4 linked regions of the Notamacropus eugenii genome follow. The protein of the gene in region 3 purifies or fractionates together with the protein of the main gene of each other region. This does not show direct contact. Links are inferred from orthologs where the notes say so. Each region holds a gene or a part of one and is shown on either strand. Other genes may lie near its edges. The genes, in order: ARID4B, PHF12, RBBP7 and SAP30L.

Evidence for each region.
Region 1: the proteins of RBBP7 (region 3) and ARID4B purify together in Homo sapiens (affinity purification with mass spectrometry; 3 studies listed by BioGRID and IntAct, counting the BioPlex papers as one, with this or other methods). This does not show direct contact. The link is inferred for Notamacropus eugenii from reciprocal best matches to the Homo sapiens genes RBBP7 and ARID4B.
Region 2: the proteins of RBBP7 (region 3) and PHF12 purify together in Homo sapiens (affinity purification with mass spectrometry; 5 studies listed by BioGRID and IntAct, counting the BioPlex papers as one, with this or other methods). This does not show direct contact. The link is inferred for Notamacropus eugenii from reciprocal best matches to the Homo sapiens genes RBBP7 and PHF12.
Region 4: the proteins of RBBP7 (region 3) and SAP30L purify together in Homo sapiens (affinity purification with mass spectrometry; 3 studies listed by BioGRID and IntAct, counting the BioPlex papers as one, with this or other methods). This does not show direct contact. The link is inferred for Notamacropus eugenii from reciprocal best matches to the Homo sapiens genes RBBP7 and SAP30L.

The regions. Positions count from the first base shown.
Region 1 is NC_092873.1:394,938,880-394,946,630, forward strand, and holds the start of ARID4B (AT-rich interactive domain-containing protein 4B), read right to left. Parts: upstream 3,023-7,751; 5' UTR 2,587-3,022; intron 1,889-2,586; 5' UTR 1,837-1,888; coding exon 1,831-1,836; intron 1-1,830. UniProt on the Homo sapiens protein: Acts as a transcriptional repressor. May function in the assembly and/or enzymatic activity of the Sin3A corepressor complex or in mediating interactions between the complex and other regulatory complexes.
Region 2 is NC_092873.1:36,320,479-36,327,833, forward strand, and holds the start of PHF12 (PHD finger protein 12), read right to left. Parts: upstream 3,008-7,355; 5' UTR 2,584-3,007; coding exon 2,518-2,583; intron 1,929-2,517; coding exon 1,747-1,928; intron 1,022-1,746; exon of another isoform or gene 1-1,021.
Region 3 is NC_092876.1:372,855,107-372,862,153, reverse strand, and holds the start of RBBP7 (histone-binding protein RBBP7), read right to left. Parts: upstream 3,002-7,047; 5' UTR 2,666-3,001; coding exon 2,650-2,665; intron 1,501-2,649; coding exon 1,356-1,500; intron 1-1,355. UniProt on the Homo sapiens protein: Core histone-binding subunit that may target chromatin remodeling factors, histone acetyltransferases and histone deacetylases to their histone substrates in a manner that is regulated by nucleosomal DNA.
Region 4 is NC_092872.1:382,823,995-382,831,031, forward strand, and holds the start of SAP30L (histone deacetylase complex subunit SAP30L), read left to right. Parts: upstream 1-4,024; 5' UTR 4,025-4,107; coding exon 4,108-4,332; intron 4,333-7,037.

The sequences.
Region 1 (7,751 bases), on a different chromosome or scaffold from region 3:
TGTCTCAAATGCTACTAAATCATCATAGAAATTGGGGCCACAGATACATAAAAATACAACAATTTTGACACTGGCCTTAATTACAAGCAAAATAATAATATCTAAAGAACTTAACTTACCACATAAAATTAGGTTGCACACAAAAAGCTAAGGTCTATACGTGAAAAAAGTACAATGTCATTGACCAACATTGTTCTTCTTAACCGAAGGGCTGAATTATGATGCCAAAAATAGTAGCATGTAAAATTAGTTCATTTTAAACTATCAAGCATTTTAACATTGGTACCATTTAAGCAAAAACTAACAATTTTAAATGCAATTACAAATATCCAAGTGTAATTTGATTTTGTTCTGACACATAAAACTGTTTAAAAGCCTAAATTTATTTCTTTAAAGAATGAGTTAAACAGAAAATCTTTAAGTTATAACTGTTAAAAACTTTCATAATTATCTGTTAAATATTGCTCCATTTTTAAACTTAATGTATTTTTCAGCCCAATATTTTCCCAAGAAATTTATGAAAATTGTGGCAGAACTGTGGTTTTCTTAATGAATTCACTTCTGGTAGTCTCACACACATTCCCCATTGTCATTATTATAATCATGCTTGTTTGTTTTCAGGTCTCACAGACACATTTAGTTTTATATACTCTTTAACTGAACTATACATATAGAAAATGAGAGGAAGAATGAAAAACCTTTTCATATACATGCATAAAGTACAAACCCAAGAAACTAGCAAAAACTGGATAGGCTATGCAGTACTCAGAATTTCAAAAGGTTACAGCATTTTACTTCCTTCCATAAACTTATGCAATACAAGCTTTAATTCTGATACAGTATTTTTTAAATTGCCTTGATTTTAAATAGAACCAAAATATAGAGACTGTTCAATGAACTGTCTAAAGTAGCTAGCATTTAAATTTTAACCTACTACAGTTTGCAGCATTATTACTATAACCAATTACGAACACACCCACCTTTTTCAAGCATAGCAAATTTTTACAGAAAAGAAAAATGTCTGCTTGGCTTGGTACCACTAGTTGAATCTAAATGATTCAAAATTCTAATTCTCTTTTCTTTCTAGTGTGTATTAAGTGAAAATGTCAATATTCAATACCTAGCTGAGCTGAAAATGTAAACTAACAGAGACATTTATGCCTACAATATGTTCAACCAAATAAGCAAACCCAAAAGGTTAAAAAAAAAATCCTGCATTTTATGCACTGTCCTTTATGATTTCTATCCTCACCACTTGGAAAACTGATTATCAGCTTTCCAGGTTTCTGGCTTGAGCACAGGGAAAAGTTTTCCTAAAAGCATGAATCGACTGAAAACGTTTAACCCAAAAGGGATCAGTGCAGAGGAACGGATCCCATACAGTCATACACAAAGCACTGTGTCCCTGGAAATAAATACAAGTCACACGGCAGTTTTCAAACCAGAATTCAAAGAACAGTTCTTCAGCAGAGTAAAAATTACCTGTTTAAAAACCCACACGTAAAATAGAATTTCGCTTTGTCTCTACTGACTGAGAACCCTCACCATGTCCAGTTTCCAGATGAGGGAGGTAACTTGACGGGCTTTCAGACTTGTCAGGGAGACCGTTCTTATCTCTCTCCCCGGCAAGAAGGCTCCTCTTAAGCTCCTCTCCCCACCGAAGAGCCCCAGCTCCGCGGCCAGGCCCGGCGTACATGCACCAGCTCGGACCCCATCCCCTCCCCGAGCTCTGCAGGACTCTGCGCGCCCCCGAAGGACCTCGACACGGCCGGCTCCCCCTCACCGCCCCACCCCCTGCCCGGAGGCTTCTCGCATGAAACCCTTTCTTACCTTCATGGTGGTGATTCGGCAGCCGCCGTCTTCTCGCAGACACAGAATTCACCTGCACCTGAGGTGAAACAAAAGACACCGAATCACCACCCCAGGAACCCCGTTCTCCGCGGGGTGGGGGACGAGGAAATGGCTCAGAACCCCCCGCCGCAAGTCTCCCTCGCTCCGCCGCCTCCCGGAAGGAAGGTCCCTCCGAGCCCGGCTCTCGCCCTCGGCGGGGCCGACTCTCCCTCCGGCATCCCCCCGCCGCCCCCGGGCCGGGCCGCTTCCCCATTGTCGGACCCGGTGGAGTTTCCCCGTCTCCGGCAATGACGCCATTTCTGTCAGAGGAGAAAGTCACAACAAACCCCGGAGTCCGGCCCCGGATCCTTCCCCGCCCCGAGCTCGGGCTGGCCGGCCTGCAGCCCAGCGGGGCCGTCAGGCCGGCGCCCCCACAACTGGCTGCCCAGCCCGGGGACCCCGCGGGGCTGGCAGCACCAGCGCCCACGGCGGGGTCCCTGCCCAGGGCTTCCGAGGCCCGTCGCCCCTTCCTTCTTCCCACTTGGCCGAGGCACGACGAGCCTCGGAGTCCGCGGCGGCGAAGGCCAGGCGGGCGGGCAGGGCCCAGCGCTCGGGCGCTCGCCGCGGGGGTGGCGACCACTCTCCTCCTGGCTGGGGAGGGAGGGCGGAGTGGGGGGGAGATACGGGGACCCACGACCGCCCCGGAACCGTGTCCCCTCTGGCCGCCGCATTGCCCCGCCAAGAAAATGCCCCTACCTGGCTGGGTGCTGAGGCTGAAGCCCGTCACGTCCCGAGTCCCCTTCCCCTGCTCCACCCCGAAGCCGGCGACGGGGAGCGGGCCCGGGGGGCGAGATGGGGGAAGGGGAGACCACGGGTCCGGCGGTGGCCGCGGCTCCTCCTCCTCCTCCCGCGGCGGTGGCTGGTACCTTTGTTTGGCGGCCGCTCTGGCTCCCTCGCTGGGGGGGAGGGAGCAAAGAACGAAGAAAATCCCTCCCGGACTCTGGGTCCGGGCCCCAAATCGGGCCCCCCTCCAAAGAAAGACAGCGATGGACCCTTTGCGGCTCCGTCCGGGCACTGGTCCAGACAGTGGCCGTGACGGCGGCAGCGGCTCAGGGTCTCCACTCCGATCCGGTGTCTGAGCAGCTCACTCCGGACTCGACTGACGGGCAAACATCACTCCCCCTCCCTCCCCCGATCCCCCTTCCCCTCCCCTTGTTCCCTCCCCTCGTTTTCCCTCCCGCCCCTAGCTGCCCTCCTTCCTTAGTCTGCCCGTTAGGAGCTCTGGGATTGGCTGGTCATCTTTAGAACCCGCCCCCACCCTTTCGTTATTGGTCCCCGGGATACAAACACCGACGCCATTTTCCACCAGTTCTATGGAAACAGAAAGTTACGCTGCATAGCTTGCTGGGAGTTGTAGTCCATCCCCAGGGGCCAAAGCTTCAGCCTCCCACCGCCAAAGACTGCAAAACCCCTAATGCTCCGCTTCGGCGTGCGGGAAATAGGAGTGGAGTGGAGGGCGGAGGAGGCCCAGAGCTAGTTATCGCTAGGGAGGCGGTCGCGACGCCTGCGCAGTGGGACGGGGATGGCGCATTTTCTCGCACCGAGTAATGCGGCGTCGCTGGCGGCTGAAAAGGGCGGAGAGTGCCGAAGTGAAGCAGTGGGAGGGATTCGTGTTGGTGGCGGGAGGAGCCTCAAAGTGAACTATAAAGGAGGAAGTTGAGGCACGGTAGTGCTGCTTCGGGATCGGCGGTGTGAAACAGCATTATTACCGTTCTACCGGGAGTGGAGGTGGAGGCGGCGGGGGAACCCGAATGGTGAGAGACCAGAGGGGGCGGGGAGAGAAAAGAAAGAAGGACAAGGACCCGGATGCTGAAGCGGGTTGCTGTGTGTATGTGTGTGTGTTTTTTTTCTTGGAGGGCAGGGGGGGAGGGAGGGAGGATGGAGGCGGGAGTGCGAGCTCCGTATGAAGAGGGAGTCGGACGCGGTGATCTCGGCGGAGGAGGGGCTGGCTTAGATACAATTAATAGTCCTTGGCTTGTGGCTAACGTCTGGTTGCCTGCGCCTTGTCAATTTCCTGGGGACTTCCTGGTGCGTTTTTTTAAGAGCCAGATTTGGAGTCAGAGGACCCGGGTGTGAATTCAGGCGGTGGTGCTGTGGGCACAAGGGGGACACCAATTCTCTCTAGACCTCCAATTTCTTCTTTTAAGTTGAGGGCCTCAGAACTAGGGTTCTCCATCGGATTTTGTGCCCTGGACCCCTCTGGCAGTCTGGCGAAGCCTGTGGACCCTTTCACAGCATTATTTCTTAATTCACAAAATCCATAGGGTTACAAAGTAAACTAATCATTGAAATGCACTTACTAAAATAAATTTTTACAAGTTCACAAACTTCCTCGCCCTTCTCCCACCCCCTCTAAGAATTAACCCTCAGAGTAGGAAGTTCCTTCCTGCTTTAAATCTAAGATTTCCTCAGACTCATAATCCTAAGGTTTTGGTGTTGAGTTCTAGCTCTTCCGAATCCAGAGAAAGCATCCGGCTTCACACATGCACTCACTTGGCAAAAATTTTTATTTTGACCTTCTTTATATTTTGCAAAAAAAAAAAAAATCAGGAATCATTTGATGCTTGATAGATCATTCGCATTGATCCTGATAATGTTTAATATAAAATTTTTGAATAATCTCTTTGTTCTCTCTGAAGCAAACTCAGAGAATGCCTCTTCCTATGTCAGCAAAAGCCAGCCAAGGCTGAGTCTACATTCCTTAGGAGACCTTTAACCTAAGACACTATATCTTATTATCTATAGACATATACTATGTTTGTTATGGCATATTAGTGGTAAAGAAAATATAAACATCTTAGATCGTAATTTCTATTGAACTTTGTTTACCCTTTCCTATGTCAGTTATCTGTTTAGGGCAGGAAGCCTGTCACTCACTGGTGGTGGGATTTCCTTCCTTGTCACCGAGACTATATGTTTACACAGCCTGGAATCTCAAGGCCCAACTGACATTGCTTTGTTAATTGTCCTGTCTTACTGAATTTATGATTTGCTTAATTAGGAGAGTTTCTTTCTCACGGCAAAATGTACTTAAGACAGATGATTTCTGTACTAAGTAGTCAGAGTCACAAATGACTCCATAGCGCTATGACTGTTATCTTTAAGAGGGAATCAATTAATTAAAAAATAACGCATGCCTTTAGTCTGATGTCTTTCCTTTAACCAAGTTTTCAGGTTAACGATCCTCATTGTCTTTTTTGATTGCAAGCCCCAGGCTGTTTTTCCAATCGGAAGAACGAGGAATAACGTAGTTATATGCCTGTTCCAGGGAGACATTTGTAGTTTTTCGTTCTCCTGTAACATTGGGTGTCATGTACCACAAATGAACTTAATTGAACTAAGGAGCTTGATACCTAAATTTAAAAGGTTGAGGATGTATATCTGCTGCAAAAAATTAAGATTTTATAGATGAATCAGGTTAGGACATATTCCACAGTAGATAACATATTCTGTCTTCTAAAGCAAAACAATAAGGAGATAGGGAAGGACCCCTCGTACTCATTACCTGTCTGCCCATGAGCAAATCACTTAACCACTCTAAATCTCAGTTCCTTCATTTATAAAATAGGAATAATTATGCCTTTAGTATATACCTCTCTCACAGGGCTGTCAAGGATCAAATGAGAAAATCTGCGTGTTGTGTTGTGGAGGGAGGGAGAGAACAGATTGTGTAATCTACCTTCAATAAATGACACCTACATTCCAAAGGAAAAAAAAGAAAATGTATGTAAAACACTTTCTAAATTTTAAAATGTGTGTGTGTGTGTTAGTCAAGGACAAAACAGCTTTTCTTATTCCCCCACTATTATTCCTGTATCTTCCTTCCTAGAAAAGACACAGTGATAAACATTCTGCTAGACAGAGAAAGTGGAATCATAGAATGTTAAGACTAAAAGATATCCTGGAAACCATCTCTTTCAACCTCCTCATTTCTACAGATAAGGAAAAAGGGGTCCACAGAGGTGAAATGCCTTGTTCAAAGTCATGGCTAATTAATAGTATCAATTAGTTTTTATTGAAAGCCTACCATGGGCCCAGTATCGTGCTCGATATTGTGAAACATACAATTGGTCCTTGCTGTCTGGCATCTTATGTTCTAATTTACAGGACAAAACTATCCCAAGAGACAATTGTAGAACTGCTTCATGCCCAGTCTTTATGAAGGTAGTTTTATTTTCCATGATTTTAAAAAATTTATTTAAATGATGTGATCATGGTAGACCTTCAATTTGAAATGTAATGTACCATCTCAGGACAGATCACAGATTATTACATTAGTGTCACATTAGTGTCATTATTATTTCCAAAGATACTTTGCAAAAGTTCAATTACATCTCTGTGTAATAAATATATAAAACTGGTTTAAGATAGAGATAGAGCTTTTAAAAATCTTATATATCACATTTTTCTTGTATCCCTTTTTCCAGACATATTCATAATAGTATTCTGCCAGATGTGGGGCAATTTAGGGAATTTACTCTGTAATCTTGTCATGGCAGGTGAAAAATTATCTGCTTTGTGTAGGTAAACAACTGTGTTATACAAGATGCTGTGAGTCTATGCAATATAGAGTTTTGAAACAAATTATATTAGGATTAATCATGTGGAAAGTAGTATATTGTAGCTTAGAAGCTATTGCATTTTTGCCCAACTGATCATTTGGGCCTGCTGCTGCAAGAGGTAATTAGCGTATGATCATAGTAGCTTGGTCCATTTCTTTTATTTCCTTATATAAGGGTGAGCATTTCATTTTGAAATTCATTACCATTTGTCATCGTAAAGCCTACTAGAGTCATGTATTTGTCATCTATGCCCATAAAATCAAAGCATTAACATATATTATAGGAATCTGCATATTTATATAAATGGTCAAATGTCAAATATTAGTAGTAAGGACCTGAAAAAGTTTTGTTTTGTCTTTTTCTTAAACTGCAAATAATTATGAAATGTAAGACTGCTTTCTTTTGTGTGTAACACCTCAAGCAGGCTAGATTCTCAAAGCTTATTACATTGTTGGCTTAATACCATGGTATTAAGGGGTGGAAATCCTGAGGTATAAGAACTCTTTCTTTGTATGCAAGAGCCTATAGAGAATGAGATCAGAGTCTGAGATGATTATCCTATCTGTTCAGTGAAGGTCACTAGAACCACAAGGGAGACTGAGGAAGAACAGTACTGTGAGTAAGAGGGTTGAGAAAAGGGAACTTTTTTTTTTTTTAAACAAAAAAACTAAGAAAAGTTATCAAAGATTCAAATACCTGGTACTATTAGACTCCATTTAGCAGCAACTTCTCTACAGTTCTGCTGAGAATCAGAAAACAAAGCTTTAAGCATCCAAAATAAATTTCACAAAAGACCATGCCCCAGTCTTTATACATTACACTTATAGTCTGTTTACTCCTAATTTAGGTGACCTTAACAATCTTGGTGTTTTAACCTACATTAGATAGGAAGAAGCAAATTTCATCAAGTTCTAAATCAGTTACTGAATAGAAAATTCATGAAATAGATGATCTAAGAAACTAACAAACAAAAGTACACCCAGAAAAATCTTTCTAGCAGTGTGATGCCATGACAAGGGCGCCAACTCTGGAGTCAATGGACCTGGATTCAAATGTTATCTCTAATGTTTCCTCTGTGATTCTGGGCAAGTCACTTAACCTCCGGAGCCTTAGTTTCTTCATATGTAAAGTGAAAGAGTTGGACTAGATGGCCTCTAGGGTCCCTTCCAATTTCCATTCTATGATTCTGGATCCTTTTCTGATAAAATTATAAGACTGATAAATCAGGAAGATATAGGCACATCATGTGTAGATTGCATGAGGCATTTGACAAAATTTGAACAGCTTAATTAGCCTTGC
Region 2 (7,355 bases), on a different chromosome or scaffold from region 3:
ATCAATAGCTAAAAGCATTGTTCTCAAAAATCATAAGAAACATAAATTAGGCTGCCAATATTTATTCAACATAAATAAGGTGTTTTATAATTTAAACATTAACTTGGGTTGTCAGTGGTACATTCAGTTTCATCATCTTAAAGGAGAGTTAAACACATGCTGTACCTTACTTAACAGGAATCTCAACTTGCCAATGACCACTACCAATCTCATTCATAGACGGAAAAAAGTAATTTTGATTCACTGCAACAAAACCTGGACAAACCAGAATTTTACTACAGCTAGAGTGAAAACAACTGTTCCAGTTTGACAAGATTTAGTCTCAACTGATGAACTTAAAAATTCAGGAGTCAGGTTTTACACTTGTACAGTATCCAAGGTCAATTCCAGATTATACAAATGAGACTAGAGAGTGTGGGCCTTATCAAATAGCCAAGTCCTACGTAGAAGCCATTACACTCAGCTAACATCAACTACATCCAAGAGTAAGACATCCTACATTGCCGACTGACGTCCAGAGCCCTGTCCCAATACCACATCTACCAAACAATTACTATCTCACAAGAAGCAAGAATACTTGAAATTAACTGTCAATTCACACAAAATACCTCAGGTATAAGACATTCCACAGCACTGAAAGAGCAAAGTGTTCCTCCGGCTCTATTACACGTTACAGGAAGCATATACTTTTAAAAGCATGGATTCCCTCCCTTAATTAGTCATCTCACCATAAAATTTTTAAAAGCTACCAGCAAAGATTTCTGCAGGACAAAAACCCCAGCACCACCGCAAGCTGGGGTGCGCTCCCGGACAAGAACAGTACTCTCTGGAGCAGCAGGGGGCCTCTTCCCACACAACTTCGGACCACAACCTTAATTTCCTCACTATCAGTAATCAGTCTAATAATAGGTGGCTCAAACCCCTACAATTAGCACAAACACAGAGTATGCAGCATTTCACTCCATCCCAAACTGGGGAGAGAATGTGACTGAAGCTGGAGGGGAGAGGTCGGGCAGGATCCCCAGACTGAAAGGCGGGGTGCGGCAGGGAGCCCCCTCCCCCAGCCCGCCCAGTCGCTCCGCCGCCCGCCCGGGTCAACTGTTGCTGCAGGAGAGGCCGGGCCGGGCCGGGCCGAGCCGCAAACTGGGCTGCGAGGCGGCGGAGGCCTTTGGGGAGGGGAGGGAAGGGGAGGGGGCGGAAGCTCCCCGGCGGACGGCGCCCTTCCTCGGGCGGGGCGGACGGGGCAGCGGCCTGAGCCGGCCGGCCTCCCGGCGCCCGCAGCGCTCCCCTCCCCCGGCGGGCGCGCTCTCGTTTCCGCCCCGGCGGCCAAGGATTTCCCAGGCCCGGCCGCCGCCGAGAGACGCGCAATGGGCGCCCGGGGGCGGCTCTAATCGCGGGCCGGGGCGCGGGCCAGGCTCGCCCAAGAGGCGCGGGGCGGGCGCGGGGCGGGGCAGGGCGCGGAGGGGGCCGGGGCCAGGGGCCGGCCTCCCGGGGCTGCGGCCGCGCCGGCAAATCCTTTCTGCAGCCAAAATGGCGCTGAGAATAAAAATATAATTCCGAGGCGGCCGGTCGCCATGTTGTAAACAGAGGCAGCGGCCGGCCCGGCCCGGCCCGCTCGGGCGGTGGCAGGGGCGGCGGCGGGCGCGGGCGGGGAGGCGGCGGCGGAGGAGGCGCCCGGCCCCGGCCCCCCCGCGGCCCCGGCCCCGCGCCCCCAGCCCCGGCTCCCGCGAGGCGCCGCGGACCTACCAGCACTGGAGGTGGAAGGCGGCCGGGCAGTGGTCGCAGCACAGCAGGTCCCCGCCCTCCTTGCAGCTATCGCAGCTGTCGTGGTTGGTGGCCCGGCCGCTCCGGCGCGGCTCCTTCTCGGGCTTGCGGCTCCTCTTCTCCCCTTCCTCGCTCTTGGGGGGGGCCAGCAGGGCTTGGATTTGCTGCGCACACGGACAAACGGGGCGTGCGTGGGGGGCCCCGCGCGGGCCCCGGCCCCCCGCTCTTCCCCCCGCCCGCCCCCCGCGCCCGCTTTGTCCTCCTCCTTCCTGCCATCCCGCCTGCGCCTCGGGTTCCCCAGCCCCGGGCTGCCCGGGCCCGCTGCCCGCCGAGGCGGCCGGAGAGGCGGCGGGCGGACGGCGCGCTCCGCTTCCTTGTACGTCTACGGGGCCGGCCGGCCGAGGCCCCGGACCCAGACCGGAGGCGGACCGAGGGAGGGGAGCGGGGAGCGGCCGGTAAGGCACAAAGGGGCCGCGGAGGCGGCGCCGGGGAGACACCCCGAGGCCCCGGGATGGGGCGGGCATTCGGGCTCGGAGCTCCGATCGGGTGCGCCGCGGGCCGGGAGCTGCTGCCCAGCCTCCCGGCCCCTCATCTGGCCGACCAGGGCCGGGGGCCTCAGGGGCCGGGCTGCAGCCCCCTCCCCCATTCCTCCGGCGCTCCCGAAGCGGGGCTGCTTTGTAGGCCGGGGGAGGGGGGACTAGGCCCCCCGGCCTGCCTGCCCAGAGGGGAGGGGTCCGGGAGGGCCGCTCTTACCTCCATCAGCCCCCCCGACGTGTCCAGGTCGTACACGATCGTCTTGGTCTCCATTTTCTCCCACATTCATCCACCTCCCGGGCTGGGCGCGCTCCGCTCGGCCCCCCCCCGACCCCGAGGGGAGGGGGGAATGTGGGGGGAGGGGGCGCTCCTGACCCTCCCTCTCGCCCCAAGGGCCCGGACTCCTCGCCCCCCCCCAGCCCCAGCCCCCGGCCCCCGCGGGGCCCCCGGGGCGGCACCGTCCTCCCCTCGGGCCGTGAGGGGGGCGCGGCCCCTCAGTCCCGGGCCGGGCTGCTGGCTGCACGGTGGCTCCGGGCTCCCGGGGCTCGGGCCTCGGCGGGGCCTAGGCCCACAGGCTAGAGCCGGCGCTGGCGGCCGCCGGCCCGGCCAGGGAGGCTGGCGGGCGCTGCCATCCCGGGAGGGGGGTCGGGGTCGGGAGGGGGGGCGAGAGGTGAGCAGAGGTGGTGCTGTGTGAGGGGACTGGGGGGAAGGGGGATGGGGGGGGTCCCCGGGCTCCGCCTCTCGCCGCCGCCGCCGTCTGCGTCCCCGCTGCCGCGCACTTGGCGCAAACTTACCGCGAGCGCCCGCAAAGCCGCCCGCGCAGGCGCTCCGGGCTCGCCGCTCGCCGCGCGCAACCGCACTGACAGCCGGCGGCTTCGCTCCCGCGCAGGCGCGCAAAAGGGGCGCCCCCCAGCGCGCAGCCGCGCTGGCAAACTCCGAGAGCGCCGACGCCCCTCCCACCCCTCACCGCACCGGCGCATTGGGTGCCGAAGGACCTTCTTTCTGCGCAAGTGCATTGGAGGGCTCTGAGGCTCACGGCGCAGCCGCTACGAATAGAGGAACCCTTCAGCCGCAGGCGTCAGAGGACGAGCTGCTCCCTGCGCAGGCGTACTGAAAGCTCCAACTCCGATCCCAACCCCCGGAGCCCCAACCTCCGCCAAAGCCGCACCCGCTTCGCGCGCAGGCGTATTGTTGCCTCACGAGAGCGCGTTTCCCTCCGCCATCTTGGTAAAGGGAACTCATACGGGTATGTTCTTGGAGCTCTCCGACTTGGGTGAGCAGGACACGACAAGCTGTGGTGCTGGCTGGGGTTGTTAGGCCGTCGGTAGTGTTGGGAGTTTTTAGTGATGCTAGTCGTCACCGTTTGTCTAGGCGCCAGTGCTGACGGCTGCGTTGGACCTGACCGCCATGTTTGTAAAGGGGGAAAAGGGACGTTTCGACCAAAGAGGGACTGCTAGGGGCAGCGGCCGTGGCAGTCACGGCCGCGGCTAGATTCCTGATCCTTCCCTGCTCGAACAGTTAATCGTAGGACGAGCATCTCGATATTTAAGGGGAGAGGGGCCGCGGTAATATCGTTTCTCACTGGAGAGTTCCGCCTGCCCTTGCCTCTGGACGACCGTCCCTGGGAATTGCTTTTCAGTACTAAGCCAGAGGCAGAGAGCTCCTCCACGTCATTAGCTGGCTATCTTCCTACCGCGGACTTCAATTCCCGACATGCAACGCTCTAGGTGCTCCCGGGCGTAGGGCGAAGTGCGTTGCAATCTGGGAACTGAAGTCAGCGAGTCTCGTTGTGCACTATGGGAGTTGTAGTCCGGGCGACGGCGCCGAACGTTTTGTACAATACAGTATGGAACGAACGCTGAAATTAAGGAAGTATTCAGAGAGTTGGAACCCTGGCTCTGAAACCCAATCATCGTCTACCTGCCACCGAGGCCCAGATTCGCCCAGAAAGCAGCCGTAAGCCAGGGATGACAATACTTGCACCATTTGCCTGCATCCCAAGGTCGATAGGAGAGCGTGGGAGCCTCTGGTAACTCCCATTTGCACAGCACTTTAAGGTTTGTCAAGCGCTTTCTGCACCACCGCCACGCCAGGGGAAAGCGTTGTGCTGTAGAAATGGGAGCTGCCGTTAGTGCAACAAACAACCACGTAAGAGCATGGTCTGTCCGTTAGGCGCTGGAGTGCTGCATGCTGGGATTTGTAGTCTCTGGGAAGTGAGCGTTCCTTCCCCATCTGGGCTAGAGGTCCCCACGGGGAGGGGGGGGGGGGGGGCAATGATGTCTAGGTCAAGAGTGAGACCTACAGGAGGAGAGCACTGTCGATTGTAAGCTGTGCCAGGCCCTTAATTTTGCGTGTCAGGTCTCTGTGAGAGGCAGGCAGGTGGATACGTGTCTGAAGGACACTATTATTTCACTCAGAGTTTGGGAACATTTTGGATTGGAGGTACAGATGGAGAAGAGTAAATGAAGGTCATGCCCCAGGGTGAGGGATGGTCCACCGGATCTCCGATGCACAGTCGTGGAATATTCAGTCTGGAAAGAATCTTAGAGATTGCAAGTCACGGTGCTAGGTAGAGGCAGGGTTAGGAGCTGCACTCACTTTTCCCAACTCCTTTTCCAGCCTAAAGAGTCAGGGTGGTGCAGTGGAAAGAGGGATGAATTTGGAGACAGGACCTGCATTCAAATCTTGTTTCTGCCTTTTGCCCACTATGTGACTTTGGGTCCCATTAGGTCACTTAACATCCTTTGGTCCTTATTTTCCTCATCTATAAAAGGAGGGGTTGGATTAGATGGTGTCAGAGGTCCCTTCAAGCTCTCAGTCCAGAATCCAGTGATTCTCCATACTGAACCTCATTGCCTCAGTCTAACAAATTGCTCGTCCTTCTTGTGGGATGGTAAGACCAGCAGAAGTCTGTGACCTTTGCTTCACAATCTCCCTTCCTTCAATCAGGATACTTATGTCAAGGAAGGGAAAGAAGTGACTTTCCTAGGGAATATCCTCCCTCCAGGAATCCACTTATGGGGAATATACAGGTATTCACCACTTCTCTCTGCTGCCTCTGTCTGTGCTGTTTAAGGTTGGTGATTGACTCTTCCCAAAGTGGAGTGATGAGTGAGCCATATACCCATACAGAGAGAAAGAGAGAGTGAAGGCTGCCAGCTTCAGCCTCTGCTAGAGCCCTGTTGCCCACGCTGAAGGACTCTCCCACAGGTTCTCTGAGGTTGGGACCTCAAATGCCCTGGTGTCATTGGCTTTACTCCTGCCCCCAAGGGCTCAGCTGCGCTGCTGTGTCATCCCTGTGGCACCAGCTTGGCAGGGGAGCTGGAGAGAGAGGGAGAAGCGGCACCCCTGGCGCCCTGCCCAGCAATCAAGGCTTTGTTTTGATCAACACCATCAGTTGCAGCCACAAGCAGGAACAGGAGGCGGGCTAATGAGGGAAATCAGGCTGTTCTGGTGACAGGTGGAAGGGAATCAAAGTGCTCAGGAGACCTCCCACTTGGGTCACGGTAGAGAGGAGTTGCCCACAAGGGCAAAGGAGCGGGCCTTGGTGGGCTGGGCTGGACCAGAAGAAGCTACCTTGGCAAGCCTCAGACCTGGAGGCATGAGCGTGAGCCAGGTCGAGCAGAATTCTCTGCAGGGGACCTCTTGTGGTTGATTGGGGAACTGCACCCTTTGCGTTCCTTGGGGATGGGCAAGGGAGAGATGGGAGGATCCTAGGTCTGGAGCTAAAAGTGTCCTCCGAGGGCATCCTTGTCCACCCTGCTCGTTTTACAGAGGAGGAAGCAGGCCCAGGGAAATTGAAGTCCCTTGGCTAGGAAGCATGCCTTGAGAAAAAGAATACTCAGATACACCAGGGATGGTGGATCTTTGACTGAGGGGCTTGGGAAGGTGCCCAGCCGCATTCCTGGGTCTGGCTTGTTGCCTCTAGAACAGTGCCAGGGAAAGGAAAAGTGGAGTGTGCTGGGTAAGCAGCTAGACTCCTGGACAAAGGGAGTGCCCACCAGGGGAAAAGCCAAGTCATCTGCCTCTCCCCAGTGGTACCAACTTTTTCAGGCTTTGTTTTGCACATAATGGCCACTCAATAAACATTTTTATTCTTGTGATTTTAAGGGAGCCCAGGATCCATTTTTGTGTCTGCCTTTGCCCTCCCCATAGTATGCTTCCGACAAGTAAACACCATCCACCTGACCACCAGCTTTGTTGAAAACACCTTTTTAATAAGGAAACAACAGAAATGAAAGATTGTTCTCTGGCTGGAGCCCAGACCCTAGATCCTATGTTACACTTTACACGTACAAAGTGGCTTACAACCAGTTCCTTGGGTCCCCCACTGGAGCAGGCTGGGCCAATTTTCTGGGCTTGTGGACTGCCCCTCTCCTGGACTTGTTTGCCTCTATCCCTCCCTTCCCAAAAAAATGGAAAGAAAAAATATTGGTGGATGGAAGAGAAAATTATATGTCTGGAGTTGGGAGAGGTTGGGTTGGGAAAGAAAGATGTTTATATAATGAACCAGCACATCAGGGGAAGGGGTGTCTCCTTTCCTCATCCCCTTCTCACACACACACACACACACACACACACACACACACACACTCATTCTCACACACTCAAATACTTCAGAGTGTGGGGCAGGCCAGGGAAGGATAGGGTTGTCCCCTTTGGTATGGATTACATTTCCCAGGAGAACCAGTCCTGGTTGGGTGGGAGTCCCCAAACCCTTAGAGTCCCTGGGATTGATTCCTTTCCACCCTTCTGGCTTTTGGGAGAGAGGGATAGTTGTCCACTTCTGGAATAGGAGAGGGGGATTGGGGAAACTTATTGAGGTGTGTGTGTGGGGTCATTCCAGGAAGATCCAGAGAATTGACATCGCCTAAGAAGGCAGAGCTAATTGTGGACATGAAACTGTGTGGGCTCCTTCCTACCTCTTGGTCAGCCCCCATTCTTTGCCTGTGAAGAACATAGAGGGGAGGTTTCTGCCACCCTGCCACCTGGCCTGCCTGTAGTTCATTTGCCCATGGTTTGGGAGCATAGAGACTGAATGGAAATGCTCTGACTTC
Region 3 (7,047 bases):
TTACCTTTCAGAGTTGTAGTGAGGATCTAATGAGAGAATATATAGTTAAATTTGTATAATTGTAAATTATACAATTATAAATAAAATTATAAATTTGTATAATTGTAAACTGTTGCGCACAGTACCTGGCACATAGTATATGTTATATAAATGTTGTCTATTATTACTCACGTTATTTTCTTAGGGAATGGATATGTGAGGTTTGACTACATTTAGATGTCTTTCATCCAAACATACTGCCTAAACTCCCTGTAGGTGTTCACTATTTAAATATGGAAAACGAAGAAACCAGGGGCACTTTCATGCTATTTCTTCCACAATTCTTAAACAAGAAATGAGGAAAACAAACTCAAGAGGGGAAATAGCAGGTTATTTGATAAAGAATGTCATAAACTACTAGCATTTAACTGAAAGACAATTAAGAAGATCCGAATTTTCATATGTAGAATGAACCAACCCAGAATCTGAAATCAATAATCTACTCATTATAATCCAATGTTAAAATACCATGTTACTTAGTTCTTTCCTCTGAATCAACTTAACTTTGCTCATGTATTTGTACAACACATACAAGCACAAGAGTATTCCACATTTTCTAAAGCCAACATGTGTGGGTAGGGTATAAGAAAGCACCACAACCTATAAAGAAAATGAGCTTTATATTATGTTCACATCTTAATCAACAAAAAAATTAAACAAAGTAAAAATTAATCGGATTAAATAATACATTAGTCCCCTTAGTCTAATTTTAATTATTTTGGCTGCATACCTAAAACATAATTTTTTTCTTACATTATTTCAGTTTACACTACAATTTGCTGAAAAAAATCATATACACTTAAGAGGAAACTAAAAATTATATTTTAAAATACTCAGCACTAAATTATTTCCAAAAGTTACTCTGTAGCAACCTCTCTTCCTTACTTCTACCCCAAACCTTTGTCCTTTTCTCCCTATAGCAAAAAGTACTCACCTGTAGTTTTGAGATATTGCTTAAGCAATATTTCCTGCAAAGGCATCCTTATTTACAGTCTCTATTTCGTTCATAAAATTATATTCATCTTGAAATAATACCCAATACCTCACATTTGACTTACTTTAGCTATATCCAACCTTAGAGTTTGTCCTTTATGATACAAAGAAACCATACATTCCAGCAATAATTCTAATTGATTCTAAAATTATGGTTAAACGTCTTAACCCCTATTTTAAAAACAAAATATATGCAAATATTTGGAAGTAGAAATTTACAATCCCCCAAGTCTCCCCCTTCCCCTCATCCCAATATCTGTTCTGTGAAAGTAATTTTACTGTTTGTAAAAGTAATATTACTGAATTGTTTAAATTTTAGTTACCTAGTTACATCAGGAAGCCACTGAACAGTAAGGCTGGGCCATTCGAGGGCATGTGTCATAACCAAGTCATATAAAAATGGGGTATTCTTTTTCCAGATTTTATATTCTTCATTGATAACCCGCTCCTCCACCGTATCTTCAAACACTGAAAGTAAGAGAACACTAATTAATATGCTTAACTAGTCTAGGAACTTCAAAGAAGCTCAAGTTTTGAGAATAGGCATATATGGTTAGAATATGAGCTCCTTGAGGGCAGAAACCTTGTTTGCTGCCACTGTTATCCCTGGCACTCAGCACAATGTAAGGGAGATACTTAACAAATACGTAGTGAAGGATATCTTTAGTCAGGGCTAATATGATTCTATTAGACAAATGTTTTGAACTTTTTAAAACCTACCACATCTGTCATATTTTGGCCCTTCCGGTTCTGCACAACTATTAAAGAGTATAACCACAAAGACTTTCCTGGCAGCCTTAATATCTAGTCATTTATTTACTGCAAAAAACAAGCCAATATTTTGCAAATACAGTTTGGCCATTATGTAAGTAATTATTTCTTGGGAATTCAAGTTTAGGCACAGCTGACATCTGCCATTCCACCATGAGTCTCCAGAACCTAGTACTGCAAGATGCCCTTTCAATTACACAGCAGAGTCTGTGGAGGGGAAGGCGGCAATCTGACAGGAAAATAGGAATCCAGATTTCGGTGGATGGCTCCTCCAAAATAGAAATGACATCTCCAGCCCTCCACGCACTACACCAACTCAACAGACGTGCCCTTTGACCATACGTATTTGTTACAATCGTTTTTTTTCCAATGGAAAGTAGCGGGAGAGAGGGGAAAAAACCGTATTCATCATTTTTAAAAATCAAATTTAATTTTTAAAGCTATGCCTCTCCCCCTTTGCCAACCTGCGAAGAACAAAACGAAAACTAGGGCAGTTTGGTTGGGCCTCGCGGCCGCACCCGAAACCTGGGGTAGCCGGGAGCCCGGGCACCCTGGTCTCAAGGATGGTGCTGAAACTGCCGCAGGACCAAGGGCACGGAGAAAGAAAAAGCACTTGTCTCGCCTGTTTCCCAGCCCCCCGGAAGTGCCCAGGGACCTCCGGGCCGCGTCCCCGCCCTCGCCTCCCCCAAGCTGTCCCCGCCGCCCAGAGCCTTGTTCGCGCCTTTCTGGGGCTGACACCCCGGGCGCCCCCCCCCGCCCTGGCTTCCTTCCACGACCCGCGCACGCACGGAGCGCGAACCCCTCCAGGAGCAACCTCTTCCCCGTAACCCCCCGTTCCCCTCTTACTCTCTTTATTCGCCATCTTGTGTCGGGCAGTGCGCCCCGCCGGCCGCCAGGCCCCTCGGGCGCCGTCTCGATCTCCCCCGCTCTGGCCGCGCGACGCTAGCCCGCCGGGGCGCAGACAGTCTCCGCCGCGTCACCCAGCGCCCACAACCCGGAGCCCCGGACGCCTCCGCCACTTGCTTTCTAACCCCCTCCCCCCCTTCCCCCCGTCCTCCGGAGTCAGGCCGTGCAGCGCTGCTTCCCCCGCAGCCGTGGCTGCTCGGACCCCGACCTCTTCCCTCTCTCTTTCCAAACTTGGAACGAGACTTTCAACCCGCGCCTACCAGCCCGCTCCGGTCGCAAAGGCGCATGCGCACTACGAGTCCCTAGAGGGCGGGACAGGAGAGGAGAAGGCGGCCAAGGAGGGTCAGAGAGCAAACGGCGCCTCCGCCGCAACCAATGACAGGCGGCGCCTAGGCGCGCGTGCGCACTGTAGGGTGTACTGCTGCGGGGGCGGGGGGAAGGAGAGAGAAACTGAGAGACTGGGAGAGAGAGGCGGGGAATACTCGGGATCCGCGGGCGGGAGCTGGCGCGCACCTGGCCAGTCCTGCCTTCCTTTTCCCCTCCCCTAGTTATAGAGGAGATTTTGCACGTGGCGTGGAAGTCCTAGTAGTATTGCACTAACCGGGGAAATGACTGCGTGTTGGGGAGCGGCCGCCAGGAAGCTGCGGTTCTCGAGTCTTGCGAAATCCATAATCGTGTCCTGTGTTGCTAGAGGAAAGACCCTTGACCTTCGCAAGCGCCCTTGAAGGAACTCCCCGCGCAATGAGGTTGTCCCCTGCAGCGCGCAGGTGAAAAGGTGGGGGTGGGCGGTGCTCTGCGTGCGCTCGCCGCCGGCCGGCTTCCCCAGGAGCGCGCGTTCGTCGCATCTGGAGATCCCTGGAACGCCCGCCCTTCCAGCTTGGAGGTCCTCGGAGCCGGCGGATCAAAGCGCTTTAAAGTGGAGGCGCCCCCTCCCATGCGTCTCCGGGAGCCTGTGGGCTGGCGGAAGAGCTGCCCCTCCCTGGATGGTCGGACCGCCCTCGCCGGAATGGGGGGCCCCGTTCATTTGGGACCCCATGACAGCGGAGGCGCCGCTGAGGAGGAGGGGAAATCCGCCTGCTTCTGTGCCGGCTGGAGCCCGCTCAGGGTGCTTAGACCGGGTCATAAAATGGGCAGAAATGTCCTTCTAAAAGTCGTTCTTAGCAAAAAAAGGCATCAACTTAAGTATAAAATGCAAAGAAAACCAATTCTGTTGAAATTCACTTATCAGCTTTTTTATTTACGTCCACAGGCCTCAGGTGAAGAACTCTTCTAGACAGTTCATTCCTCCAAATGGAATTTTTGTTATTTTGTCTGATTCAAAAGTTCTGGAACTACTTTGTGTCATGGTCCCCATTGGCTGTGTGGTGAAGCCTCTGGACCTCTTCTCAGATTAATGTCTTAAAGACGTAAAATAAAATACATAGGGTTACAGTTCTATCAAAATAGTTATTATTTTTTAAGTTCACAGACCCTAAAAGGCCTCGAAATGGTGCAATGGAAGAAACAAGAGGAACTGCTTCTGTGCAGCCTTGGAGGGTCCATTCCTTTAGTCTTCATGTATAAAATGATAGGGTTTGCCTAGATGCCAGTCTGGGCCCTTGGAGCTGTAATTCCACCCTTCTGGACTGGACTTTGTGTTCCTCTTACAAAATCAGGGCTGTGCATGCTGTGGCATCCTTTGCTTAACTTTGCCTCCCCTCTTTCAGGGGAAGCACTGCCTTTCTCAGAAGAACCAAGGCATAGTGCCCATGGGGCCACTTCATTCTTTGGCCCTGGTCAAATAGGCATTAACCCCTCCTGGCCCTGAAGAAAAGACTGATAGAGGAGGAGGTTGGCTGGATCTGGGTATGGAGGAAGTGGACACTGTAGGCTCCACACAGGGGAAGTGAGAGACCTGAGAAGGGAATGATGGTGCGGGGATACCTCAATACTGAGAAGGCTAACCGGGGGTTGAAAACTGTAGGCTCTATATACTCCTGTGAGAAAGGGCCCCACTGTGAAAATACATAAGGAGTAGAGGAAATAATAATAGTAATGCCTTGCTTGAATCACACTTAATATTTTTAAAGTGCTTTCATTGTACAACCTCATTTGATCTTCAAATGAAATAGGAAAGATATTGTTAATCTCTATTTTACAAGTGATGTCACTAAGACAAGGAAATGAAATGACATATGGGCAATTGTTTAAATAGAGTGAGAGGTTTAGTTTTCCTAATTTTCCTGTTTTCCAACTCAGTGATTATTTGACGATGCCATGCTACCTTAGACTTGATGTGGGGAAGGACGGCCTTGGTATTAATTGACAAAAGCTATGGAGAGTTAAAGACAACTTACTGTAGCAAAGAGAGCACTGGACTCGGATTCAAGCTACTCAGCACTGTAACTTACTACTTGTGGGCAAGTTAAGGAGTGTATTTATTTATACAATGAGGGGGTTGAATTAGATGATCTCTTAAGGTCTCTTCCAGTTTATAAATATGTGAAAACAGACTTGCTATTTGTGAAAACCTAGGGTTATTGTTCTTTCCATAGTACAGGGTGTATGACCTTTCGCTGGCAAGAGAAGTATTATAATAATAGTAATAATCCTGTGCCTTAAAGTTTACAAAATGCTTTGACTTCTCCTTAATTCAATTTAATAAATATTTCGTAAAAGGCTTCTATGTGCCAGGTTGTGTGCTGGTATTTTAGGGATGGAAAAAAAATGACATTGTCCCTGTCCTTAAAGAGCATACATTCTATTGAGGGAAACAACATGTACACGGACAGGTAAGCTTAAGATACACTGATAGTTTAACTAATATTGAACCATCCCTGAATCCCTGTTATTAATCCCACCTGGTTATAGTGTATGATCCTGGTGATAGATAGCTGTAATCACGTCAACATTCATTAGAGAAATTGGTCGATAGTTTTCTTTCTCTGTTGTGGCTCTTCCTGGTTTAGGTGTCAGCAGAATATTTGTGCCATAAAAAGAATTTGGTAGGACTCCTTCTTTGCCTATTTCCCCGAATAGTTTCTATAGTTTTGGAATTGTTCTTTAAATGTTTGGTAGAATTCACTTGTATCCGTCTGGCCCTGGGGATTTTTTTCTTGGAGAGCTCATTGTTGGCTTGTTCAATTTCTTTTTCTTAAATGGGGTTATTTAAGTATTCTGTTTCCTCTTCTGTTAATCTAGTCAGCTTATGTTTTTGTAAATATTCATCAATTTCACTTAGTCCATCAGATTTATTGGCATATAATTGGGCAAAATCGCTTTTAATTATTGCTTTAATTTCCTCTTCATTGGTGGTGAATTTATCCTTTTCATTTTTGATACTGGTAATTTGGTTTTCTTATTTCTTTTTTTTAAATCATATTAACCAGTGGTTTATCTATTTTATTGGGTTTTCCTCCCCACAAAAACAGCTCAGTTTTATTTATTAGTTCAGTGGTTTTCTTTCAGTTTTATTAACCTATCTCTTGATTTTTCAGGATTTCCAACTTGATATTTGATTGGGCATTTTAAATTTGTTCTTTTTAAAGCTTTTTTTAGTTGCATGCCCAGTTCATTGATCCGCCCTTTCTCTGCTTTATTGATATAAACATTTAGAGATATAAAATTTCCCTTAAGTACTGCTTTGGTTGCATCTCATAAACTACGGTGTGTTGTCTCATTGTCATTCTCTTTGATGAAATTAGATTGTTTCTTTAATTTGTTGTTTGACCCACTCATTCTTTAGGATTAGATTATTTAGTTTCCAATTAGTTTTTAGCCTATCTTCCTATGGCCCTTTATTAAATGTAATTTTTATTACATCGTAATTTGGAAAGGATGAATTTAATATTTCTGTCTTTCTGCATTTGTTTGCAGGGTAATTATGCCCTATGGTCAAATTTGTATAGGTGCCATGTAATGCTAAGAAAAAAGCATGTTCCTTTCTATCCCCAATTTTCTCCAGAGGTCTATCATATCTAACTTTTCTAAAATTCTATTCATCTCCTTAACTTCTTATTTTGTGGTTAGATTTATCTAGTTTTGAAAGGGGGAGGTTGAAGTCTCACCCTAGTATCATTTTGCTTTCTGTTTCTTCCCATGACTCATTTAACATCTTCTTTAGAAATTTGGATGCTATACCATTTGGTGCATATATGTTAAGTATTGATATTGCTTCATTTAACAAGATTAGATCTATTTTTGCTTTTGCTTTGTCTGAGATCATGATTGCTACCCCTGCTTTCTTTTTACTTTAGCTGAAGCAGAATATATTCTGCTTCAGTCAGTCTTTTACTTTTACTTTCTGTGTGTGTCTCTGGTTCAAATGTGTTTTTTGTAAACAACATATTGTAGGATTCT
Region 4 (7,037 bases), on a different chromosome or scaffold from region 3:
ATGAATTTATTTCCTGCAATAGGAATGAAGAAGACGGGAAACTAAATTTCAAAGAGTATCTCTCATCTACTTAAGGGCAGCCAGGTGGAGCAGTGGATAGAGTACTGGGTTGTATAGTTTGTCCTTCGTTCTTGAAGAGGACCATATCAGGATGAGGATGACATGGCTTACAACTGAATTGGATTTGAGGGAGGGCTGTGCAAAGTCCCCAGCCTCATTTTCTCCTCCAGAGCCATCTGATTCCAGTGGCCAGATAGAGATCAGGGCAAGTGGACATGATCTAGGATGCAGTGGGACGCCTTGGCCTTTTTAAGCTGAGGTCTTTCCGAGTTCTCGCTTTGAATGAGGCAATACACATTTAGTGATTAGGCCTATTTCAGAAGTGAGTCAAAGAAAGACCCGTTAAATTAAAAAAAAAATCAAACTGTGGGGGGAAAGCCCTCAGGGTTGCTGGCCTAAAGAGAAACAATTACTATTTACATTCACTCTAAGCTTTGAGGGGGCAAAAGATAACTATCAAGTGGTGCTTGGGCAGGGATCTAAGATTGGCCAATCAATAAGAACCAGAGCGAAATGGGTTTAAGGCATGGTCTTTAAGAAAAAAATCTAGTCAGTAAACCCTAAGATAACTAGGTGGGTTTCAGCCATCAAAAGACAGGAAGACCTGAGTTCAAATCTAGCCTCTGACACTTACTAGCTGTGTGACCCTGGGCAAGTAATTATCCTGTTTATCTCAGTTTCCTCGTCTCTATAATGAGCTGGAAAAGAAAATAGCAAATCACTCCAATATCTTTGCCAAGAAAACCCCAAATGGGGTCATGAAAAGCTGCATGTAACTGAAACAACACAAAGTTATGAAGTGCTTTAAATGCCAGCAGCTTTTATGTTTGATCTTAGAGGTCACAGAGAGCCACTGGAGTTCAGTAAGTCTATTAAGAATCCTTCTTGACTTCTCTGCAGGCTTTCACACTGTTGATCACTCTCTTCTCTCTAGGTATTCGTGACATGGTTATCTCTTCACCTGTCTGACTTCTCAATGTCCTCTGTCACATACACTAACCATAGGTGTCATTTCCTCCAAAGTTTTGTCCTAGGCCCTCTTCTTTTCTCATCAGCTCCCTTGGATTCAGACACAACCCATACCAAACTTTTAAATTGATTAATTAGGTAAACAACACTTGATCTCAATTTCCTTTTCTCTTGTTTTGTCTTCATTCAGAACACTAACAGGCGTTAACATCTTTTTTTTTTTTATTTTTTAATGTTTAACAATCACTGCCATACAATTGAGATTTTATCCCCCCCCACCTACTCCCCACTACCCCCCTCCCTCCCCACGACTGCATACAATTCTGTATAGATTCTACATATACTTGCCTATTGAGTATATTTTCACTATAGTCACGCTATGTAGTCAGACTAAAATAAATGAAAGAAATCGTATAACAAATCAGAACATGATACACAAACACATACCCATACACAAACATGATCTGCTACATTTTGTGAGTGACTTCCATATTTCTTTCTCTGAGTGTGGAAGGCATTTTGCCTTGAGAACCACCTTTGGGATTTTTTTTTTTTATAAGTAGTTTTTGCGTTATTACCAGGCGTTAACACCTTAAGTCAGACCTCAGAGGTAAACTCTAATTAAGCAAGGTGTGGTCCTTCCCCTCCCTAAACCCTTAGGGGCTTTCCTGGTCTGGACACTGCCACAGTTTTTATGTCCCCCAGGGCAGGATGCTGCAGCAGGTTTCCAGTATGTTTACTGGCACTGACTTCTCCAACAGGACTCTTCTACCCATGTCTGAAATTTGTCTTTTTGTGTGATACTGGGATGAATGAAAGAAGATATTCCTCTCTGGACTTGTCATTATTCCAAATAGCTCTTCATTAATGGAACAAAAGTGGTACAGTTAGGCTCTTCTGTGACCTCACACAGCCATGTTACCCACATGCCATCTCCCAACTGGGTGCCTTTGCATAAACTAGCCCCTGTGCCTGGGATGCCCTCCTTCCTCACCACAGCTTGAGTCCGTAGCTCCCTTCAAAGCTCAACTCAAGTGTACCTCCTAAATGAGGCCTCTCTGGTCTCCTATTTTCCTGACCACCCTTCAATTTCCCCCCAAAATTACTTTTTATGTTTCATATTTACTTACATGTGTACATGTTTTCCTAATAGAATGTAAATCCATTTCTGTCTCTGTATCTCTGGTCTTAGCATAGCACTGATACATAGTAGGCACTTGAATGTTTGATTTAATACCTACTTTACAATGTTGTTAGTATTTTGCAAGCTATAAATACAAGCTATCAATACTCCTAATAATTTTAATGATTCCTCTTTTGAAGTATAGGTATAAAGTATGAGAGACAGAACTCTCTCTGCTTCTTCATGAGACTATCTCCTCTCACTCCTTTACTCTTCTGTGATCCTCAGCTACCAGACACTGTCTTCGTTAACTCATTTCCTTGGTTTTGAATCTTATCTCTAACATTTACTTTAAAAAATGATAGGACTTGAATTCGTCTCATTCTTCCCCCAATACCATCCCCTCATCCAAAACACTTAACTACCAATATGATCTTGGGCAAATCACTTAATCTCCTTGGGCCTCAGTTTTCTCATCTGTTGGCTAGGTGACCTCTGAGGTCCTCTCCTGCTTAAATCTAAGATCCTGGGATCTTCTTTAGCTTTCTGCTTGTAAGAGTGTCTCTGGTCCAACCCTTTCTCGTTTGGAGCTATTACCTTGTCTTTCTCACCTACCCAGTCAGTGCCCCTGTTTCTACCACTTCCCATACATACAATAGTCCTTGTCCCTCCACATGATTCTATTTCCCTATAACCTTTCAACCCTTTTATGTCTCTCCTTTCCCTACAGCACGTGTCTCCCCATATTCGCTTGAGTCTACTGCTCTAACTCTTGTCACTCTGTCCCATCATTACATCTGTCCCACTGTCTATCCATGTTCATCCATCCCCTCCCCCCAGCTCTTCTCTCTCTTCCCATTCCTTCTGTGGACTCATTTGCGCTTTCATCCATCCTTTCTCTTCCTGGGTCCTCATCTCTTCTAGGTCTCTCTATCCCTCTGTCCATCCATTCTGTCCCAGTGTCTGTCTATTCCTCCATCCTTGAATGTGACGTTGTCCATCCTTCCCATCCTTCTAAATTCCCCTAACGTGTCTCCACCCTTTGTTTCCTTCTTTCTGTCCCTTTCCCCCATCTGTCCCTATGGTTGTCCATCTCTCTGCCCCTCATCGTCTGACTGTCCCACTGTCCCTCTCTTCTGTCCCCTCCATGGTGCCACCTGTCCTCTGTCCTTATACTCCCCGTCTACCCCACTTGTCCTTCTATGTCTATGTCTACTCATCCCATCTGTGCCTCTGTCCATCCCCCCTGTCCTTGTGTCCCACTGTCCATCCTACTTGCCCCTCTGCGTTCATCAGTCCACCTCCAGTCGGACCCTTGTCCGTTCCGTTTGTCCGCCCCCATTTGTCCTCCTGTCCATCCCGCCTGTCCCTCTGTGTCCATCCATCTGTGCCTCTGTCCATCCCGCCTGTCCCTGGGACCCCCCACCTCCTCTGGATCTGCCCGTCCCCGCTACCCCGCCTGCCCCTCGGTGGCCCCGTCCTCCCCCGCCCGTCTTGAGGCAGCTGCTGGCCCCGGGCCGCGTCTCCTAGCCCGGCCACCAACTCTCTGGCTTTGCACTTTCTCTACTTCGGACCCGTCCCCGCAGAGTCCAGGAAGGAGCCGGCCTCTCCTGACTGGCGGGCGCGTCGCCCAATGACCAAGGCCGCCGAGGGATCCGGCCACGCCCCGTGTCTTCTAGAGTCCAATGGGAACTCGGGGGCGGGACTTCCGCCGCCGCCGCGGCCGCCGCCTCGGGGAGAGCGGGGCAGCCCAGTGGGCGCCGCGGGGCTCGCGGGGCTCCGGGGGCCGCGGGTTCGAGGCCGAGCCGGGCCCCGGCGCGCTCAGGCAGCGGGAGGCCGGGCCCGCGGGCGGGGCCGAGGGGACCGCCTCGGCAGGGGGGGCCGCGACCGGGCCGGGGTCCCGGGGGCAGGGGCTCGGGCTCCCCGTGAGCGTCCCCGGGGCCGGGGCCGGGGCCATGAACGGCTTTAGCACGGAGGAGGACAGCCGGGAAGGGCCCCCAGCCCCGGCCCCGGCCCCCGCGCCCACCGCCGCGCCCGCGCCCGCCCCCGGCTACGGCCAGAGCTGCTGCCTGATCGAGGACGGGGAGCGCTGCGTCCGGCCTGCCGGCAACGCCTCCTTCAGCAAGAGGATCCAGAAGAGCATCTCGCAGAAGAAACTCCGGCTGGACATCGACAAGAGCGTGAGTGCCCCCGCCCCCGCCGGGGGAGGAAACGGAGGCCCAGAGAGGGCAAGCGACTGGCCCAAGGTCACACAGCCCGCGCGCCCCCGAGCTAGAACCCGGGGCTCCCTCCGAGCCCCGCCTCCCCCCACCCCCACCCCCAGCACCATCCCCGCTCCCAGGTGAGAGGGGGGCGGGAGGGGGTCCGGCGGCGACCCTGAGCTGGAGGGCAGATGGAGCCTGGAGCCCGGACCGGGGCAGCTCTTGGGATCAGCAGAGCCGTTGCTTGGTTTCTTTTGTTGTGTGCGGGGTGAGAGTCCCAGGGTTTGGGAAGCAGCACCGGACGGACCACCGGGGGCTCCCCATTCTCACCCTGCCCTTATGGTCAGCAGGCTCTCGTGAAGCTCATTTGAGGGGGTGACCTTGGGCAAGTCATCCCTCCTCTCCTGCTCCCCGTGTTTAGTCATCAGTAAGCTGGGGGAGGTTGGGACCGATTATTTCTAAGCCCCTCCAGCTGCAGCATATTAGGAGGAAGGTGGTGGGGTCCCTTTTCTTCAGCTTCTAACTTTTCCCTCCTGGGGAACGTACATAAACACACGCCCTGAATTTTTCTTGAAGAATAGTCAAGTTGCTCATGGTTTATCCCCCAAAGGGTAAGGCTGCTTACAGAGGAAGGGTGCTTTCTGCTGTTTGTGGAAGTGGGCTTACAAAGATGAGGCTAGAAATAAGGCAGAGGTCGGGTTGGTTTTTGTTTGTTTTCCTGAGGAAGAGTGGTTTTTACGTTGAGTGGGAAAAGAGAGAGAGAGAGAGAGCCTTCCTGGACAGTTGTTTTTCCACTTTCAGGCCTTAATAGTTCCTTGCTTGCACCTCTCATGTATTTTATTCCATAGACTGAGTCCTTCCTTAACCTTTCTTGTGCATCAGCCCCCTTATAGACCTCTTCCCAGAATGATGATTTTAAGGAAATGCTAAATTGCACATAGAAGTTAGTGAAAATAAAGATTTAATTATTTTCCCATCCAACTTCATAAACCAATCCCATTTTCCGAACCATTATCTTGACTGCTTATGTTCTCTGAGGATAGAGACTGGCCTCCAGTCATCAAGTGTCACCTTTGACCCTGGGCAAGTCCCTTAATCTCTCTGTTCATACAACTCTACAAAATTGAAATTTGCGGAACAATTACCAATCTGCTTTGGTAGAATTGAGGGAGTTTTCTCACCTAGAGTACCCATGCAAATCTGAACCACAAACAAAAAAATCTTCCCCTGCACCCAGTCTTTTCCCCACAAACATACTAGCTAGTTTCGAAAAAACGCCTCACTTATTTGTAGCATTTTCTAGTTTACTAAGCCCCTTTCTGTCCACGGAGGTATGAGGTGGATAATGTGTGCTGATTTTTAACCCCATTTTATACATAAGCAAATTGAAGCCCTGTGAGCAGAAGTGCTGAGCCTGAGGCCACATGTCTCAGAAGAGGTAGAACCAGCACAGAAACCTGGGGCTCTTGATTTCCTCCTTCAAGTGCTCTTTGCATCGCTGTGCTACATCTTGCAACGTTATAAATATTTGTTAATTGAATGAATGGGAATTTAAATTTGATTACAACACGCTTAGGGCCTCCTACCTGATTGTAGGAAACTTGTCTGCAGGAGGTTCTAGTTTACAATTCTAGAGATGTTCTTAATTGGTTGATAATGAGTGCTTTTTAGAGTGTCATCTGTTGTCAAGTTTAGTGGCAGTTTCACTATTAAGGAGTCAGATTTGTTAAGGAGACTAGACAGGGTCTATTTAAAATTCAAGAAGTCTTAAGTGAGATGAATGAGTTCTTCCCACAGGTAGTAAGAGCCAAGAATCGAACCCAGGCCCTCTCACTGCAAGTCCAGTCCTCATTCCACCATTCAGGGGTGGGGAACCTGCATCCTCGAGGCTCCATGTGGTCTTCTGGGTCCTCAAGTGTGTCCTTTTGACTGAATCACGGACAGGGTTGGATGTGTAGCCTCGAGGCTGCAGGTTCCCCATCCCTGCTTTATATCAAACTGCCTCTCATGTAGAACTAAAGGATAAGCCGAAAAAAGAAAAGTTCTGCATTATCAGGTAGGTTTGGGCTTTTATAAATCCTTTCTAAAACTGTTTAGCAATTGCCGGAAGAGTGCCCTTTTGAAATCACAACTTATATTTACTACAGTTTATAGGTTCATTGACATCTGGATGCTTTTACAGCTGGATTGAGATTACAACTCTCCTCGTTAATTTAAACTGTTTTTGGTGGTTTTTCCATACATCTTAGGGATAGGAGGAAGAGAATGATGAATTGCAATAGCATTGCTAAAAGTAATAACTCCTCACTTCTCAAATGGTACTTTTTAGGAATAGATTCACTAGCAATTCTCTTTTCAAGGTGGTGTCATTTCAGAAAGATTCCATTTTCCTCTCAAGAATGAACAGGACTTCAGTTAAAAGTAACAGCTGTCTTGCTAAAAATCAGATTTGCAAACAGGGGGGAAAATGGAGGAAGGGGATACTCTTTCCAAATTTCAATCACCTGAATTACAGAAAATCTGTTTGTTCTTGTTAATGGTTAAAAGTATATGCTGACTCAGTATTTATAGAATCATAGAATGTCAGAGTAAGAAAAACCTTAGAATATAGAATGCATTTTTAGGACTGAAAGAGAGCTTAGAAACCATCTAGTTCAGCACCCTTATTTTTCACAGATAATGAA